Linked DNA regions of Drosophila melanogaster. The protein of the gene in region 3 interacts with the protein of the main gene of each other region in a pairwise test. Each region holds a gene or a part of one and is shown on either strand. Other genes may lie near its edges.

What was found.
Region 1: the proteins of CG3610 (region 3) and NAT1 interact in a two-hybrid assay, tested with the Drosophila melanogaster proteins (one large-scale study listed by BioGRID).
Region 2: the proteins of CG3610 (region 3) and CG15071 interact in a two-hybrid assay, tested with the Drosophila melanogaster proteins (one large-scale study listed by BioGRID).
Region 4: the proteins of CG3610 (region 3) and lva interact in a two-hybrid assay, tested with the Drosophila melanogaster proteins (one large-scale study listed by BioGRID).

Annotation. Positions count from the first base shown.
Region 1 is NT_033778.4:12,914,044-12,919,131, reverse strand, and holds the start of NAT1 (NAT1), read right to left. Parts: upstream 3,139-5,088; 5' UTR 3,068-3,138; intron 1,275-3,067; exon of another isoform or gene 1,228-1,274; intron 1,138-1,227; 5' UTR 735-1,137; coding exon of another isoform or gene 1-734.
Region 2 is NT_033778.4:18,694,696-18,697,926, reverse strand, and holds CG15071 (uncharacterized protein), read right to left. Parts: upstream 1,343-3,231; 5' UTR 1,294-1,342; coding exon 673-1,293; 3' UTR 582-672; downstream 1-581.
Region 3 is NT_033777.3:14,843,398-14,847,272, forward strand, and holds CG3610 (uncharacterized protein), read left to right. Parts: upstream 1-1,645; 5' UTR 1,646-1,809; coding exon 1,810-3,276; 3' UTR 3,277-3,340; downstream 3,341-3,875.
Region 4 is NC_004354.4:3,962,240-3,967,150, reverse strand, and holds the start of lva (lava lamp), read left to right. Parts: upstream 1-1,823; 5' UTR 1,824-2,396; coding exon 2,397-2,450; intron 2,451-2,512; coding exon 2,513-2,584; intron 2,585-2,653; coding exon 2,654-2,734; intron 2,735-2,798; coding exon 2,799-4,911. Other genes in the region: CG6428 (uncharacterized protein), read left to right, coding at 1-563, 630-1,331. UniProt on the Drosophila melanogaster protein: Lva and spectrin may form a Golgi-based scaffold that mediates interaction of Golgi bodies with microtubules and facilitates Golgi-derived membrane secretion required for the formation of furrows during cellularization.

The DNA.
Region 1 (5,088 bases), on a different chromosome or scaffold from region 3:
AAGCCTTGACCCAAAATGTCACTATTCTTTGGATAGTAACGCGACGACGACGAGTCACCCTGGTAAGATCGTCGAGGTCTTGGGCTCACCTCACTGTCGTGTTGGCGAATTTTGACGGAATTCTTACTATAGCCAGTGGAAAAGTGTCCGGTCGGTCCACCAGATGATCGGCTGCCGTTCCTGCCGCCCTCGCTGTTGCCGCTTATGGCCGGAGATCCTCCGTTGCCGCCGGCGCTCTTATATCCTGAGCCGTTAGAGCCGCCCTTGCGGTAATTGCCGCCCAGCGAATTCGATCCTGACGATGGCGAGGAGCCCTTGTCGATCTTCACCAGATTCTTGAGGTTGTTAAACGTATCGGTCGCTGTGGTGATCGGCAGAAGATTGGGACTGGTGTTGAGCAGTGTTTTGCCGACCGACGGTGTCGGTGGGGTTTGGCCACCGCAGCTGACGCCGATAACGCCGCCGCCTCCGCCACCACCGCGATTGGTTGGCTGCTCGTAATTGCGCTCGATCTCGCTGGGATTGGCCGTTATTACCAGTCGTAAATCGCTGCCGCCGCCGATGCTCTTCGTATCACCGGTGCTGGTGCCTCCCTCAATGATGATCGCTTTACCGCCCCGAAACTGATCTATGATGACGCCTGCCTGGTGCCCGTTGGTGACTCCGGACCAACGTTGCGGACTGTCGTCGTAAGAGTGCAAAAGGGGAGCGGCGTCGTACGTTGATAGAGGAATGGTGGATGCTTTTCTTGATCGACTCGGGGGCGAAATGGGTGCGTGCTTGGGTGGCACGGAGTGGGCTACTCTTGGCGTCTTGGTTGGTTTCCCCGTTTTCTGGGGATCTGGATCCTAGTTAAGGGTCTTAGATCCTCCTCGTCTGCTCTGTGGTTCTGATGATCCTTGGGGACACTCGACGAAACGCACACAAATCTAACACACACACGCGTACGCACACAGAGACAAGTTATGGGTTATGGGTGCTGGCTTTTTATCCAACTCTGCTACTGTTCCTTCCGATTTCGGTTCTTCCTGGTTGGTTCCTTTAGGCTAGAAGTAACAAGTCCTGCGTGGTAACACCTGGGATTCGTCTCTCCGTTTCGTTACGTCACACTGGGTATGGCCTTGCGTTTAGGGAATCCTGGAGAGAAATGGGAGGAGGAAACAAACAAAAGCCGGAACCGTGGCAAATTAATAAAAATGAGAATCAGACGAATCAACAATTACGTACAATTGTGACAAAAATACAAAAGAAAAGTGATCCTAGTGGTGTGCGTGTGGGATTATTTAAATGGACGTTATTTGCTAATCTCGTCCGATTGTTTTTGTTTACACTCGATTTCACTGCGAGCAAGCGCCAGCACAATAACAATAACATCACCTGCCATCCAAACTGGAAAATATGCATTTAATGGAAATAACCTCGGATGAGCACCTTCAAGTTTATTCCACTTCCACTCTCTCCCGCCAATTGAAACGGCACTGCCGCATTCTACGGAATCGCATGTGTGCAAGTGTTGGTGGCATTGCCATTTAAGCATTAAGTGCTGGGAAGATTATAATTAATCACAGGTTTACACAATGCCAACCAGCTTTGTGCCGTTGCTTAGTTTTATTTTTGCAAAGTTACTTTCGCTTGATTGACTCATTTGTTGTAGCCTGCCGTTCTTTGTTCCAGCTTTCTTTGTTTGGCGCACTCTCTCCCACCACAAACTTAAACAACACCAACACACATGCACCGAAAAGAACTAGAAGCTGCGTCCGTGTGTCAGTGTCCTTTCTTTGTGTTGGGGTTTATGGCCTCAGCTTTGGGGATCTCCTCTCTTTCTTCCTCTCTCCCGCTTTCCATTCAGCTGGCCATCCCGCTCGCACGCGATGCTGGTCTTCTGCGCCACGGAATTAAAGTCTCTTGACCCCGGGAAATAGGCAGAGGCGCACAACGAGCAGGGGGTTGCAATTGCTGATTAGCTGAGTCACTACTCCATTCCGCTCAATTTGCTTGGTTTAATTGATTGGCCATAGGACGACGAAGTCGCAAACAACCCTGCGATTTGTCATTGTGCGAGTACACCACATACATACATACGAACTTTGGGCCTGCAATAATGTAGTCTTTCGTGCGGGGAAGGGATAAGCCAAAACTAAACACCCCCAATGCGAAAACCCACCCTCTGCTGCATTGAGGCGTCGACCCCGACCTGAGAAATGAGCCCCCCCTGCTTCCGCACAGACCCAGTTGTGGATGATTTTGACCTCAATTCGAGCGTTCGGCTCGGCTCTTGTGCACAAGTGTTTGTCGCTGTCTGCATGTTTAACTGGCCAAGTGGCACACCCACATTGCAAACAGTATTTATTTTACTAGTTTTTCGGGGGCTTCAAGAGCAAATATCTTGAGAAAACCCATGAAAACGCACTCTTCTTTTTCCCCCATCGATAGTGACGAAAGCACACACACATGCAAGCAGCACAATGCGTGTGTGTGGGAGATCAGAAAGCAGCTGGAAGGCACACGCCAAAAGTGAAGCTGTGGAAATGGAATGGAAGAAAAAAAAAACTCCATGAGAGGGCTGTCTTCCCGGGGAGGGGGCACTGTAGATAACTCAAGCAAAGGCAGCGGGCAACGTCAACACAGCATTTCAGATTTTCCGACGTGCCGACGCCATTTTGTGGCGCAAATAGGTGTACCTACACACACAGTCATACGCGTAAACTTTCTTTGTGTTTTTTTTTCTCTCGAAATGATTCATGCAAATTAACGTTTTGATTGACGAATTTCGACCCTGCTTGCTCTTGAAAATTATTACCGCGATGGAGCGACTATGGCATCTAGGGGAGCTCCTCACTTTTATTGATTTCACTACTTGATTTTTCGCCGTGAAGAAACGAGGACGTTCACACAAGCACACACACTTATACAGACACAATAGAATCGGTTTTCTCTGGCACATCGTGGAAAATTTATAGGCTAAAATGCGGAAAATCCACCTGCAAAGAAGTGTACTTTCCATATTCTCTCTAAAGACAGCAAAAAACCATTTGCAAAGTATACTCGTTAAATTATTTTTACTAACCTTTTCTTGAGTAATTTCGTATAGCAAATCACGCAAAGGTTCCACGAAATAGAGCTGGAACAAAAATCGATGTGCGTTTGGTTTTATCGGTGTAGCCAGAAGATAGTAGTATCGATTTTTCGCATGCAGCAATCGATAACCTGTTAACTTAACTAAAAATGTGCCAAGTAGCTATTTCACAATCCATGGTGTGGAACTTGGAAAAATATCGATGACTCGAAAAGCTATCGAACCGGCTCGACTACTCAACAGTGCTGCAAAAGTTTTATTTCGATTAGGTGTTGACAAATTTTGAACGACCGCAATATTTAAATCGTATTTCAAGCAGATCTTTTGTACAAAAACAGTTTCATTTATTAATAATTGATATACCTGCTTTTTATGTTGTTGCTTGTTAAACTATAACAAAAGTAAACTAATTTAAACTATTATTACTAATATTATTATTATTCGTAGATGACCAAACTGTAATTTTAAATTAGTGAGCGAATATTGTATATTAATATTGTATCCTTATTGATTCGAAAGATTTTGCTTTATAGTTGCTAAGTGCATTGAGTATATTAAAAAAACAGTATCTAAGCGCAATACAACATTTTTACCTCTGATGTGCAATGCTCGTTCATATCTAGAACTGGATCTTGTGAGTATAAATTTGTTAATTAAAACTAATTACTAAGCCCACAAACGAGGACATCATTTTGCTACCTTCATTTTCAAATTGTTTTCGTCAGCGTTTACAGAGGGTATAATTTTATTTAATTGAAATGACCGATCGTTAGCAACCAGTGACAGATATAGTTTAAATATTGCGGCACACATCAACATTGTAGTCCGTGCCCTAGGCCGCACTATCGCCTCGTTTGATATATGTATTTCCCTGGCATTATCAACGCAGTCATCTACAACCCTTTTCCCTCCCCAACTCCTTGCTGGTTTTCCACACACAAATATACACACACGCACACTCACACACTGTCGCACTCGCAGGACAACCATGAAGAAGTGGGAAACCGAACAGAAGAACAATTTAATTAGTGATGACATGTTGCCATTTAATTTTCTTGTAAAAAGCGTAATTAAAAATGTTCGGCTCGCAGCTGGAGCTGCTGGAAGCGTCAAGGTGGAAGGATAAGGACACGAAGGCAAAGGCGAAGCTAAAGGATTCGTAGGTAAACAAGCCCGCAACGATCATATATCGGTAGGTTGGCTATAAATCATATTGCGACTGACTCCGGCGCATATTAGGGCCTCCTAAACGATGAGATAATCTATGGTCGCAGCGACAACAAAATGCGGCCACCGGCAATAAATTTGGAAAATACAAAACATTCTGACAATTTTCCGTGGCCCGTATGTGTGCGTGTGTGTGTGTGTGTGTGTGTGTGTGTAGTAAGTTTGTGAGACTATCCTGGCTGGCTGCACACATCGAGGACAAAGGGCACAGGACACAGTAGTCACGTCAACACTTTCAACTCTTTGGGCTGCCTTTTGTTTCGCCCTTCGTCGTATCCTTTCGGCAATAAAAATTCCGTTTGCTATTTATCTTGATTGTCCCCAAGTCCCCAAGTCGCCATTGCCATCGCCATCGCCCTATCGCTATCGCCATAGCTATATAGTCCCGTAGTCGGGTTTATGTGCAGGACCTAGTCCAAAGTCCGGACACTTGAATGTTGGTCGCCGTCGCGATGCCTGGACATTTTTTGCTTAATGAAATGTACATAAAACTAAATGAAATTAAGTTTGTGGCGTGCTCGTGCCAAGTCCGATGGCCCACTCCACATTGTAGTCTAAGCCGTGGCTGCGTGTTTATTACCGCGTCGCGCATAAAATGCAAAGAGCCTTTCCCGCGCTCAAAATGGCCGACAGCGAACCCTTTTCCCGGAAATCGCAATCCCTATCGTCCGTTTCGCATTGAAAATTAAAGCGGTCGCTGGAACCGTTGAAGGGGGTGGACGGGGCGTCGCAAAAGCTCATAAAGTCGAAATTAAATAATTTGTCTTCTTAATTTTCAAATAAAT
Region 2 (3,231 bases), on a different chromosome or scaffold from region 3:
CTTCAGCCAACAACGGGAAACAAGGAAAAACCAAAGGCTTGGGGGGGGGGGGGGTAGGGCTGAAAAAAAAGTATGGAAAAAACAGAAATGCCATTGCCACGTGCCGTTTGACCTTTCCCCATTGGTCGCCCGGCGAATGCGATGAACCTCAAGCTCGGCGCTCGCAAATGAGACATTTCAAAATAATCGCAACCAGAAATACACCAACAACAAGTATAGCAGTCGTGGCAGAAAATACCAGTGTCGCCTCCGTTTGGGAATCCTTCAGCCGAAGGCGAAAAAAGTCGCATCAAAAGGTCCTATTGATTTAAAAGGCAAGCAGCTCAAGGCAAGGTCTAAAATGTTGTTGATTACGAGTGTCGCCCATTAAATAAGGGCCCTGAAACAATGTCAAGAATTTCAGCAATATTTGTCTGCAAATCGCAATGCATGGCCATCGAGAAAAGCATTTGCTCCGTAATACTTTTTCAAAACTAATGGTATTTGCATTTAAATTGGATTGGATAATACTTTGTAGGTATATCTACTTTTGAAACTATTCCACTTGATTTAAAGATATTTCTTTATTGTTTTGCAAGCCTATTCAAGTTATAGAACAAATACAAATTTTTGGGATATTATCTATGTGAAAAAGTGAAAAAAAAACTAATCCAAAAGTTGCTGTATATTAATCTACATGCTACCTTTCCACAACAGCTTATTTTCAATTTCCATTTTAGCGTACTGCTCCCTCAGTTCTTCGAGTTCCTTTGAGTTCCTAGCAGCCAAGCGATACAATTGGGCATTTAGGCCAACGATTCTTTCCCTTAGAGCATTCACTGTATATTGGCTAAGACGTTCTGGCCGAAAGACATCCTCCTTAACGGTGGCCACAAAATGCCACATATCCTGAAGCTCTCCACGCTTTTCGCTGCTATATAGCTTAAGTTTTTCATGGAGCACAAGTTTCTCCTGTTCGATTTCGTTGATCAGACCTATTAGATCTGCCGTGGAGGAACTGTTGGGTCGTGGATTTCGACCAGTTTCCGGCTCTTGGCAAGACTCGGTCTTTGAATCTGTGCCCTCATCATCTTTGAGTATGAAATTATTGGGATTCAGCTTGACTTGATTGCATTCGAGATATTTTTGCTGCGCCTTCAGGCGCGTCAATTCACACAGAATGGCGGTAGGTGTTAGTTTTGCCGCCCTGATCTTGGGCGGAATTTTAACTTGATTCCGTTTACGAGCGGGTTTTTCCGGCGGTTGAGCCCTTGGAGCCGTTGGCTTTTGTTCATCGTCTTTTGGATTTTCCATTGGGGCTTCGGTAGCATGTGATTGTTGCACAACATCCAAGGAGAGAGTCGTTGCAACTTCTGCAGCGCTCGTTTGGTTGTTCTTATTTACACGCGGTAATCAAACGTGTTGCCAGCACACCCAACCACCCACCCACTCCTTCCACGTGTTTAATCGATATGCAACCTTTCCACCCCCCTCGATTTTTCCGGCTGCTGTGCCAACAATTCTATGCTTCTGCCGGGGGTCAGTAAACTTTATTTGGCTTGGCTGGATTTTACAATTTTCCAAACGGCAGCGGTAACTTTCAGTGGAAATGGAAAATCGATTAGTACAATTACTGTTTCCATGTCATGGCCTACTTAATTGCCCATGGAAATGGGACAAACGGGGTCGTGGCTTGAAGACCACTTTCGTGGCTAACTAATTTCTAATCAGTACTTGTGGGAGACCGGGAAAATCCACCTGCTAGCCAAAAACTCAAGTGACGATCAAATGTTTGGCGAGCTAATCAAGTTTCAATGGACTAACAAAAGTATAAAGTAAAAGTAGGAAATACAACAGTGAGCCTTGCTTTAGTGGAACTAATATATTAAATCACAATCTACAATCAATGAAATCAAAGCTAAGAAGGTTTATATATTATGCAAAAATGTTCGTTATATTTAAGATTCACTGTTAACTAACGAAATTCGTTTATATTTAAATTGCCTTTTTTTTTTATGTACGGCTAAAATTGCTGGAATTACAAAAGTGCTTGGTATGGAAGTTTGACTGTTTGTGCGGATGAAATGTTGATTTATTATTTGTTTTGCTATCGCCTGCAAAGTCAAATCGGGCAGCATTAACTTGGCGCGTGCTGTTTGTCTTCTGTCTCCCTCCCACCCACCAGCCACAACCCACTTGCGCCCACACCACCCACTCCGCTGTGCGACAGAGACAGAGAGCGAACGCACGTGACTGATTTGCGAATTTACTTTTCTTGCGATGACAAAACATCGTGGATGAAAAATCAGCAGAAGAAGCAACTCCACTGATAGCATTTGTGCTTATCATTGGAATGTATGTATGTATGCGTATTTTTTTTTTTTGCTGCAGATAGCATAGTTTTGTTAGTATCAAAAGCATACAAATATGAACGTGGAAATGCAAAGGAAAGGCAAAAGGTCGACCTTAGATTTAGTGCGCATAATTTTTTGGGTTTTGTAAACACACACACACACAGTAGAAATATGATAAAAACCGCAGACACACGAATGGTGAGCTGCAAAAAGCCGCGAAATTGTTAATAAAAAGGTAAATAAAAATTGTTAAACGATTTCAGCCACCCATCTCGCTCGCTCATCATCTCCGTCCCGCTTGCACTCGCTTCTTTTCGGTCTGACGCGTGTTAGATGTTCAAACATGTTTTCGGTCTGCTGGCCAAAAGGCAACGCTCAGACGGCAGCTTAAATATTTGCCCATAGCGAAAGATCAATCAACAAATGTGAGCGAGACGGTGTGAATTGACCAGAAAGAGACGGGTAGAGCATAGGGCTGCACAGAGAGAAATAATATCGACATATAAATAATGAAATGTATAGTAGCATACAGTTTAAACAGTTTAAAAACTCACATTTGCAATGCGGTTTTTCATCTTAACTTGGAATGAAATTTAAAAAATATTTTATTTAAGTTCCCCTGCTTTTCTCTATGTAAAAACAAACACGAGTGGTATATAGAGTGTCTACGCTGCATGGCTGGTGCTTAATTGCATCAATTGGAGCATTAAAACAGTTGCCAAGGCAACTACAGAAAAATTCAATTAAACTAAAACTTGCCAATTGAGTGCAAACACATTCCGCACACAAAGAAAGTAAACTGAAATTCAATTTGAAAAACGGCACATGAAAGCGATCAAGAGAGCGTAGAACTCTAAACAAAGAAAGAAATCAATTAATACTATTTATATTGGCTAAG
Region 3 (3,875 bases):
TCTCATAGGGTCGGACCGCCACTTTCCATCATCCATCCAACTTAATGTGCAATAATGAGTGTCATGTAATGCCAGACGCGTTCGATTCGAATTGCCAACCAACCAACAAACAAACAAAACTGAACTCAACTCAAACAGCAGCTGCATTGGCGGCTAAAGGAAAATAAAAGAGAAAAACCCAATGCAGCATTAGCAACGACAACAAATTAACATTTTTCAAAACTTTAAAGCCCCGACATGCGTTGACACTTTCGGGGAAAATTGCGTACAATTTCAAATGCAGGCACAAAACTTTACGCGTAATTACGACACTGGGGAAAACAGGAGGAAAATATAAATGGCAATAAGGGGGGGGGGGGGGGCACAAAAAAAAAACAAATAAATAAAACAAACCGCTGGCAAATCGCGTTCGCTGCGCCGTTGACAGTTGTAAAATGGAAAGGTTATCCGGACCCTGGTCGGCAAAAACCATGGACAGCCAACAAATGCGTCGAGGAAAGTGCCTTCGGAAGCTGCAGCTGCTACTGGAGCTACTCATGTCCCATTCCCCATGCCCCCCCGCCACGAACTCAATCCCCTCCTGCCACAGAGACTCCGCCAATGAGCTTCTGTCGTGGACAGTGACTGATGGTCTGGGAGAGCTCCGCTCTTTTCTGCCTCCAATGATTACGATGATGATGAAGACGGCGATGACAGGGCAGCATTTAACCAGCGCTCAGCAGTTAGATAACTATATATAAATTATGGAAGCCAGACGATAAAAATCCTCGACAGATCGCTCTAGAACGTCTACCATAGTTTATAATTCTAAATATACGTATGTTGAAAATGTTTGATTGCAATTGTGAACAAATTATAATTGGTTTTATCTTATTTTCCAATATACTCAGTATTCTGTAAATAATTGACTTTTATTTAAATACCTTTTTAGCTCAATAGCTGTTTTAAATTCAGGAGAAATATTATTTCTATTGAGTGCAATGCATTCGAGCTCAGAAACTCAATCGTTTAGCTCGGTTGTGATTTTCCATACAAATTCGTATGCAAATTCAAAGGTATATATAGCCAATAGTCGGGGCAACAACGCGCTCGCAAGGGAAGCACTTGAGCCTTACTTTGATGCACATATCCCCATTAAGTTGGCCCCCGTCGAGCTTGTGGCTCCCAATGCGGCCATGCAGTAGGTGAGAGAGAGAGAGAGATCTCTTGGCCTCTTGGCCCAGAACCCACTCAAATATGCTAATCCACTGGAAGTCCACACAGACCTCCACAGACAGCCCACAGTAGAGTGCATGTTTCTGAGCTTCAGGAAAAGTAGTTGCATAAAGCTACAATGCCTTTCCAGAATCTCACAGAGGAAGTAATTTGAAATTACGGAAGGACAGGCTTTCAATTACGGTAAGCTAACTTACCGATATAAAGGGAACATTCTGTAATCGTGGGCAATTGACAGATTCTGTCAATGACAGAAAATCAAGAAAAGTGGCTTTATATTCGCAGCTTAAAAATATTAGCCAGCTCTTATCTGTTTCACTTAATTCTTCATAACATACTTGTAATTTGAATTAACCTGAATATTATTTTCTAAACTTATTTATCCAGCTGAAAACTGTCGTTTTTTAATATCTGAAAATTTTCTAGCAGTCTTCAGTTAGTCAGTAGATTTCGTTAGGTTACTAGCACAAAAAAAAAACATTTTGAGTGAACTAATACCACTCAAAACGCCTTGACATATCACATATTTCATTCCCAGTTAAATTTTCCTAAGTAATTTCTTTAAAAGGAAGTGGTTTGTTTTCTTGAACCACGATGGAAAATCTCCAACCGGAGTCGGATCGCGTTGGCCATATTGTCTGGGATGAACCGGGAGCCTCGATTTTTGCCACCGCCTCCCAGGAGCCCGTACCGAATCTTCTGACCGAGTTCAAACCAATGCCGAAGGGCGAGGACGACTGTGTTTCTGATAAGGATGTGTGCCGCATTCTTACACAGTCGTCTGTCGCGGAGAGCTCATTGTTCCGAATGGTCAAACACCAGGTGGACGAAGTGGCCGCCATGCTCAACAGTCACCTGCATCCGCGCCAACGGAAGGAGCAAACCGATGTGGATGTCACCCTCGGTGTAGCAAGGGAACTGGCTCGCCAGCAGGTGGAGGCCAGTAGATGCCTTCAACTTCATCGCAATGTGGAAAATTTGAGGGATCTCGAGATGGAAGTGGCCCGTGCCCACACAGCGTTGGCTGTCAAGAACAAGATCACCAACAATATCAAACAAACGGTGGAAGATAAGCAGCGGGAGCGGGCCGAAGCTTTGGCGGAACAGCGAGCCGTGGAAAAGGAGCTGAAGGAGGAGAAGCAAAGAAGGGCTCAGAAGGCAGCCGTGTTTCGTAGAGATCTAATGGCCCAGATTACCGAGGGGCGTACCAAGCGGATACAAGATCATCGAATAGCTGTGGCCGAGGGTCGTCAAGAGCTAAAGGAATGCAAGGAGATAGTGGAGCAGGGAATCCTAAAGGATGCAGTTACAAAGGCGCAGCAGCGCAAGGTGCTCCTCGAATCCCTAGACCAATCGGCAGCCATGTTGAAGCAAACCCGCGAGGCCTACGCTCTGGCCCAAAAGAATAAGCCCGAGAGAGGACTCCTTGATGCCCTGGGACCCGTTACGGCGGCCTATGTGTCAAAGGCACGGAAACGACGCCTTGATGAGATCGAGGCCAGGGACATTAATGCCGCTCGGCTGGGCTTCCAGCTCAGCCAGATCAAGCACGATCTGGAGTCCCGAGATCAAGTCATCACCAGTCTGCTAATCCGCGAGCACAAGGCCAAGGAGAACGCGAAGGCCTTGGAACAGGCTAGAACCAAAATGGCCAAGAAGCAGGAGATTCGCGAACAGCTCCTCAGCCAGCGGGAAGAGCAGAAGTTCTTCCGAGATAAGGGTGTGCAGGATGCCCTGGTCATGCCCAAGGATCCCATGTGCTTCGGCGAACGACAGTATCGAATGCAAGTGGCCCAGCGGGAGAACACCCGGCGCTTGGATGTCCAATGCTACCAGGACATGGCCCACATGGTCGTGGAGGCCAAGAATAACAGGAAAGCCGCTGCCCAGGAGGTGGTTGACATTGTACAGGAGGTCTACAACCAACAGAATCGCCAGGATGAGCTTGTGGCTATTGAGCGGATGAAGCTGCTCTCCAAGCAGCCACCTGAAGTTCTTTCAGCGCTCAAGAAATCCATTCTCACCGAAGAGGAGATCAAGTCTTTAAACCTTAAGAAGTAGTTAATGAGTTTTCATTTAATACGCGCTAGATGCCCGTATTAAGGCTTGTAGAAACAAAAAATACAAAAAAGTACTTTTTGTTTTTTTCTTCGGGTTATTATTAAACCTACGCCCCCCTGGATGTTGGCTATTATTTATCAAGTATACTACCTCATGTGAAGCAGCCCACTGGCACAGGATGTGCTTAATTTTCCATTTTGCTGCTCTGCACTTTTAAATAGACTTTGCTGGCGCTGCCGGGATGGCAAATGAAATTCACTTTCTTATCCATTCTTTGGCCAAGCTTTTGCAGCAGGTCAGGTTTCCAGGTTTCGTACTCGAGCAACCGGTTTACCGACATTGCAGCTGGAAATTTGTTTACAATAATACGGTTCGAACGCACGCAGATGGGAGCGTAAGTGCACTTTGAAACCGGGCTTACATACATTTCCTTTACTTTCCATTTCTGGACTCATTAGCCGGCTGCCGGAGGAGACAGGTTTATATTTCATAACTGGCTGGCGAAGAAGGCTCAAGAATGTTGGCAAAGTCAGTTTTTTGGCAACCATTTTGGAGCACTCTCTTGACGACCTGCGGAAACTTTCCCTGGCAATAACTTT
Region 4 (4,911 bases), on a different chromosome or scaffold from region 3:
CCGGTAACTACATCATTCCGGAGGTTTGCATCTTCTTTGGCCATAAGTTGATGCGCGGCAATCGGACGGTGAAGGTCAGTTCGAATGCCTTAGACGCGTTCGACTCACCGAATGTTCCACCACTGGCCAGGATCGGCATTGATGTGAACGTCGACTACCGCCTGATATTCCGGCCATGCACTATTGAAAGGTTTTGCGTACACTTGAATCTCGACGAGAACGTCGGCTTGCTGCGAATCTTTCCGAGCATTTCGCACTCCACATTCCGGGCTTTCCTGGCGCCACCGATTCGCGGCGTTGTCCTGCAATCCTTCGGATCTGGAAACATACCATCGAACCGAAAAGATCTCATCGATGAACTGCGTGCGGCTGGTGAACGAGGCGTTATCATCATCAATTGTACACAGTGTCCCAATGGCACAGTGGCGGAGATCTACGATACGGGCAAGGTGCTCTGCGATGTCGGTGTAATTCCCGGTTTCGATATGACGCCCGAGGCGGCGCTGGCCAAGCTGGCCTATGTCATCGGCAAGGAGGAGTGGTCACTCGATATGAAGAAGCAGGTAAGTTTCGACTATAATTCAATACATACATAAATATGGATAATCCACAATGTGTGCATTTCATAGATGATGCAGTCAAGCCTGAGGGGCGAACTGACCTCCTTAAAGGCTCCCAAAATGGAGGACTACGACTTGGTGGACGCAGTGGCACGGTCTCTGCACTTGTCCTCGCCCCAAGAACTGGATCAGCTGGGCGAAACGCTCTTTCCGGCCATGATCAACGCCGCTGTGGCCGAAGGTGATCCCAAGAAGATCAACAACTTGAAAGCCTATGGCGCCGACTTGTCGGGCACAAATCATGACCAGCGAACGGCCCTACACTTGGCTTGTCAGCTGGGAAACGTGGAGATCGTTAAGTACCTACTGCAGAACGGGGTGTCCGTGCACGTGCGTGATCGGTATGACCGCACTCCACTTCTGGAGGCTGTCGCCACCGATAGCCACGAGATCATCCAGTTGCTCATCAACTGTGGTGCTCATTTGACGGGCTCTTCGCGAGCGGTGGGCGAGCAATTGTGCGCGGCCGCTGCTAGGGGATCGATGATCAGATTGAAGTCCTATCAATACGCCGGTGCCGATCTTGCCCAGTCGGATCCTTCGGGCAGGACGGCCTTGCACGTGGCAGCACTGCACGGATTTCCGGAGGTGGTGCAATACGTCCTGCCCTATTTCGAGAATCCGAACGAGAAGGACATGCTCGGCCTGACCGCCATGGATTATGCGGAGCGCGGCGGACACGCAGCGGTTATGGAGGTCCTAAAATCATAGAAATCTCTTCCGAACCATACATACCTCGTTCCTTGTTCCTGCAGCATGAAGAAAAAAACAAACACTGGAGGCTAGGGTTATTTCTTTTGTACTTAAGTGTTGCATCTAGTCTAATGGTTCCTTATTATCAGTTTTGCATAACTCGCATATTAACGATGTTGTCGTGGTAGTTTTTATTATTAAGTGTCGAATCCCTGACCTGTTTTTAAGTAGTCCTTATTTACTAATGTATCCATTGTATGCAATAATATTATTAGCCAAAACCAAAAATTAACCAATCATGTCTAAAATTAAGCATCAGACATATTAAACGGTTGTATAACAAGTTATATACACAAACTAGTATAATTTGTTGTATGAAAATAAATAAAATCAATTTGAAATTAATGCAAAATTTTTGAATTAGTTTGTAATCGATTGATTGATTACGAGCGCAAGTGCTATCGAGCCATCTGTCATTCGATAACTTACCAGGGCTTTGTGACCCTATTCAGTTGTTGCGCAGCCCTGGTATCGAATTGTTTTTACGCTGGCATTAATTAGAATTGGTAAATATACATCTGTCAGCGTGCACATAAGAAAGCTCTTACGTTGCAATCTAGTGCTTAGTGGCTTGTAACTCAGAAACCAGGCGAAAATCGACACAAGCGCTGGAAAAACAGCAAACAAAACACACACACAGCCCCACTCGCACACACACAGCCGCACACACACGCACACATCTATAGAGAGGTGCACACGTCAGTGCCACGAATTCCATAAAATAAAAAGAACAACAAGAAACGCAAATTCAAAGCTAAAGACAATTCTAGCCGATCGGAAGCGGATGATATATGTTAGCTATATGGTAAACCCTCTCTCGTTGCAGTCAATGTCGATAGCTAGCGCTGCGCAGCCACCGTGGATATATAATCGGTCCTTCAGATAGCCAGTCCGCATATATATTCCCGATTCCCCCGATTTGTGTTTTTGTTTGTTTTTGGTTTTTTTTTTTTTTTTGTTATTGCTGCTGCATTTGGTCCGGTACGCTAGGATAGTTAGTAATATTTTGTAATTGAAACGACAATGGCGGAAGATTCGGGTGCTTTGGAGAGCTCCTACGACTTCTCCATCGTTCAGGTGGGTTTCACTTGGTGTTCCCTGTACGTACATGCGTCCATACTGATCATGACCACTTGCAGCCCGACGATCACGAATATGGCGAGGCGGATATACGCTTAGCGGGCAGCTCCAACGATCTGTCCTCGTTACAGGTGGGTAAATCTGAACAAATCCCCCAAGTGAAGCAGGATTCAATATTATCTGTTGAATCTACCCTACAGAATGTATCCGCCAGCACAACGAGAGGCACCAAAGGCAAGGGCCGTTTGGATAGCCTTAAAGAGAATCTGTACAAGCAGCAGGTGAGTTAGGCGCTGTGAATCAAGTGGTTCATATCATTAAATGACTCGAAATGATTGCTTTCAGGAGCGCCTCACTGCCTTAAAAGAACGCGCCTTAAGGAAATCCCAGGATGAGCGACACAAGTCCAGCATGAGTGACTCCATGGAGTCGCTTAAGACACTGGGTCAGAAGCTCACCGTGTTGAAGACGCGCTCCGGCGACTCCTCCACTCCACTGGTCTCACCCACAAAGGACAGCGACCCCGGTGATGTCTCTTTACTCCAAACCAGTGGCAGCGAGAAGCTTCTGATGCTCACACAGCGCACGGAACAAAATCGTGCTTTGTTGGAGCAGCGCAAGAGGGATCTGGCCAAGTCTCTTCTTTCTGTAAAGTCGAATATTGGCCACCAAACGACCGCCGAGCTGGGCTCTTCCATGACGGACCTACGACACGCGGCGTCTGTCTCCAATCCACCCGTATCCCGCCATCGTTCTGCCTTGGACTTGGAGGCCCAGGGTCAGGAGGCGGTGGACGAAAGCCGGGTGAAGTTGCTCAGGAGTCGTATGAAGTTGACGGAACTCAAGCAGGGCCGGCAGGAACAGGAGCTAAATGAATTGCGTACAGAACTGGCCAAGCGCGCTAAACTCATCGAGCGATTGGAACTATCCGGTGCGGAATTACAGCGCACGCTCACCCAGCGAAACGAGGAGTTAGAGCAATTGCGTGTGGTCCAGGCAGAAGAGGATAGCCTGAAGGTGCAGGAAAACTCTCGCCTCCAGGGCGAAGTTTTAGTCTTAAGAGAACGACTAGCAGAGCTGGAAAACGTCAACGACCTGTTAGAAACGACGCGCTGTGAACTTCAGGAAGAGCTGACCACGGCGCGCGAAAGACAGCGTAATCTGGAGTTGGAACAAGAGCAGGAAAAGGCTTCCCGCAGTCCGCAATCGGAAGCAGCGCATACCGATGCACAGGTGAGCGCGGAGCTAGCCAAACAGCTCCAGGAGCTTACCAACCAGCTGGCTGATCTACAGGCAACTAATGAGGAGTTGCGTCAGCAAGTTGCTGCCCAGGCGAAGCTCCAGGTGACCGATGAGATTGTTTCCCAGCGCCTTGAGGAACTGGAAGCCACCATAGCGGCGCAGCTTCTAGAGCTGCAGGAACAGAAGTCGGCAATGGCTGCCCAAAACGAAGAACTCGCAGAAAAGACAACGGAACTCAATGTGCTCAATGTGAATCTGCGTCTCCTTGAGGAGAAACTCGCGCAAAGCAGTCGCAGTAAGCCCCTATTTCTGGAGGACCATTCGGAGGACAGTGCCGCCAGCAAGCAGATGCAGGAGGATCTGCAGCAGCTGAAGCTAAAGCTGGACGAAACTAACAAGGCCAACATAAAGCTAAAGCTGAAATGCAAGCAGGCGGAAAAGAAGCTGCAGAAATTCCAATCCCAAGATGGCCAACAGCAGTTGGCTTCACTGTTGGCTGATAACGAGGAACTGCAGCAAAGGATCGCCGTCCTCGAGGACGAGAAGGGTCAATGGCAGTTGGCCAACATGCAAGAGGACGACCGCCAGCCAGAGCAATCGACGGAGTCCAATAATCCACTGCAGCTGGAAACAATTCGTTTGCTGGAAGAGCAGAAATTGGAATTGCAACAGGCCCTAGAGGCCTTACTCAGTTCATCCAGTTCTGCGGAATCCATTGAAATAGTGGAGCGTCATCACTTAGAGTGCCTAGGCCAACGACGTCCGGCCAGCGAGGGCGACGCCCAGGAGCAGAAGCAAGTGCATCCACCAGGGCCAAGTCACGTCAGCGAGCTCACTCAGACGGAGCAAACTGAGGAGGAGGATTCCTCTGGCGAAACTCTTTCCCAGCTTAGAGAACGTCTCGAACTTTTCACCCAGGAGCGCGGAGAGGTATTGGACAAGCTGGAGCAACTGTCGGCCGAGAATTTGCAACTCCAGGCAAGATTGGAGGAAAGTTCAAGTTCTCTTCAGCTGTTGCAGCGTGAACGTGAGAAGGATCTGATCTCCTCCACGTCCACTTCATCCAATCTCTCGCAGGAACTCAGTTCAATGCAACGCTCCTCCGAAGTTGTCGCAACACTGGACGCCGGCGAAGGAGGCCCCGTGCTCTTTGAGAAATGCGAGAAATCCCTGAGCAAACTCAACTCTGAATTGGAGGCCTATCGCAAGGCCAACG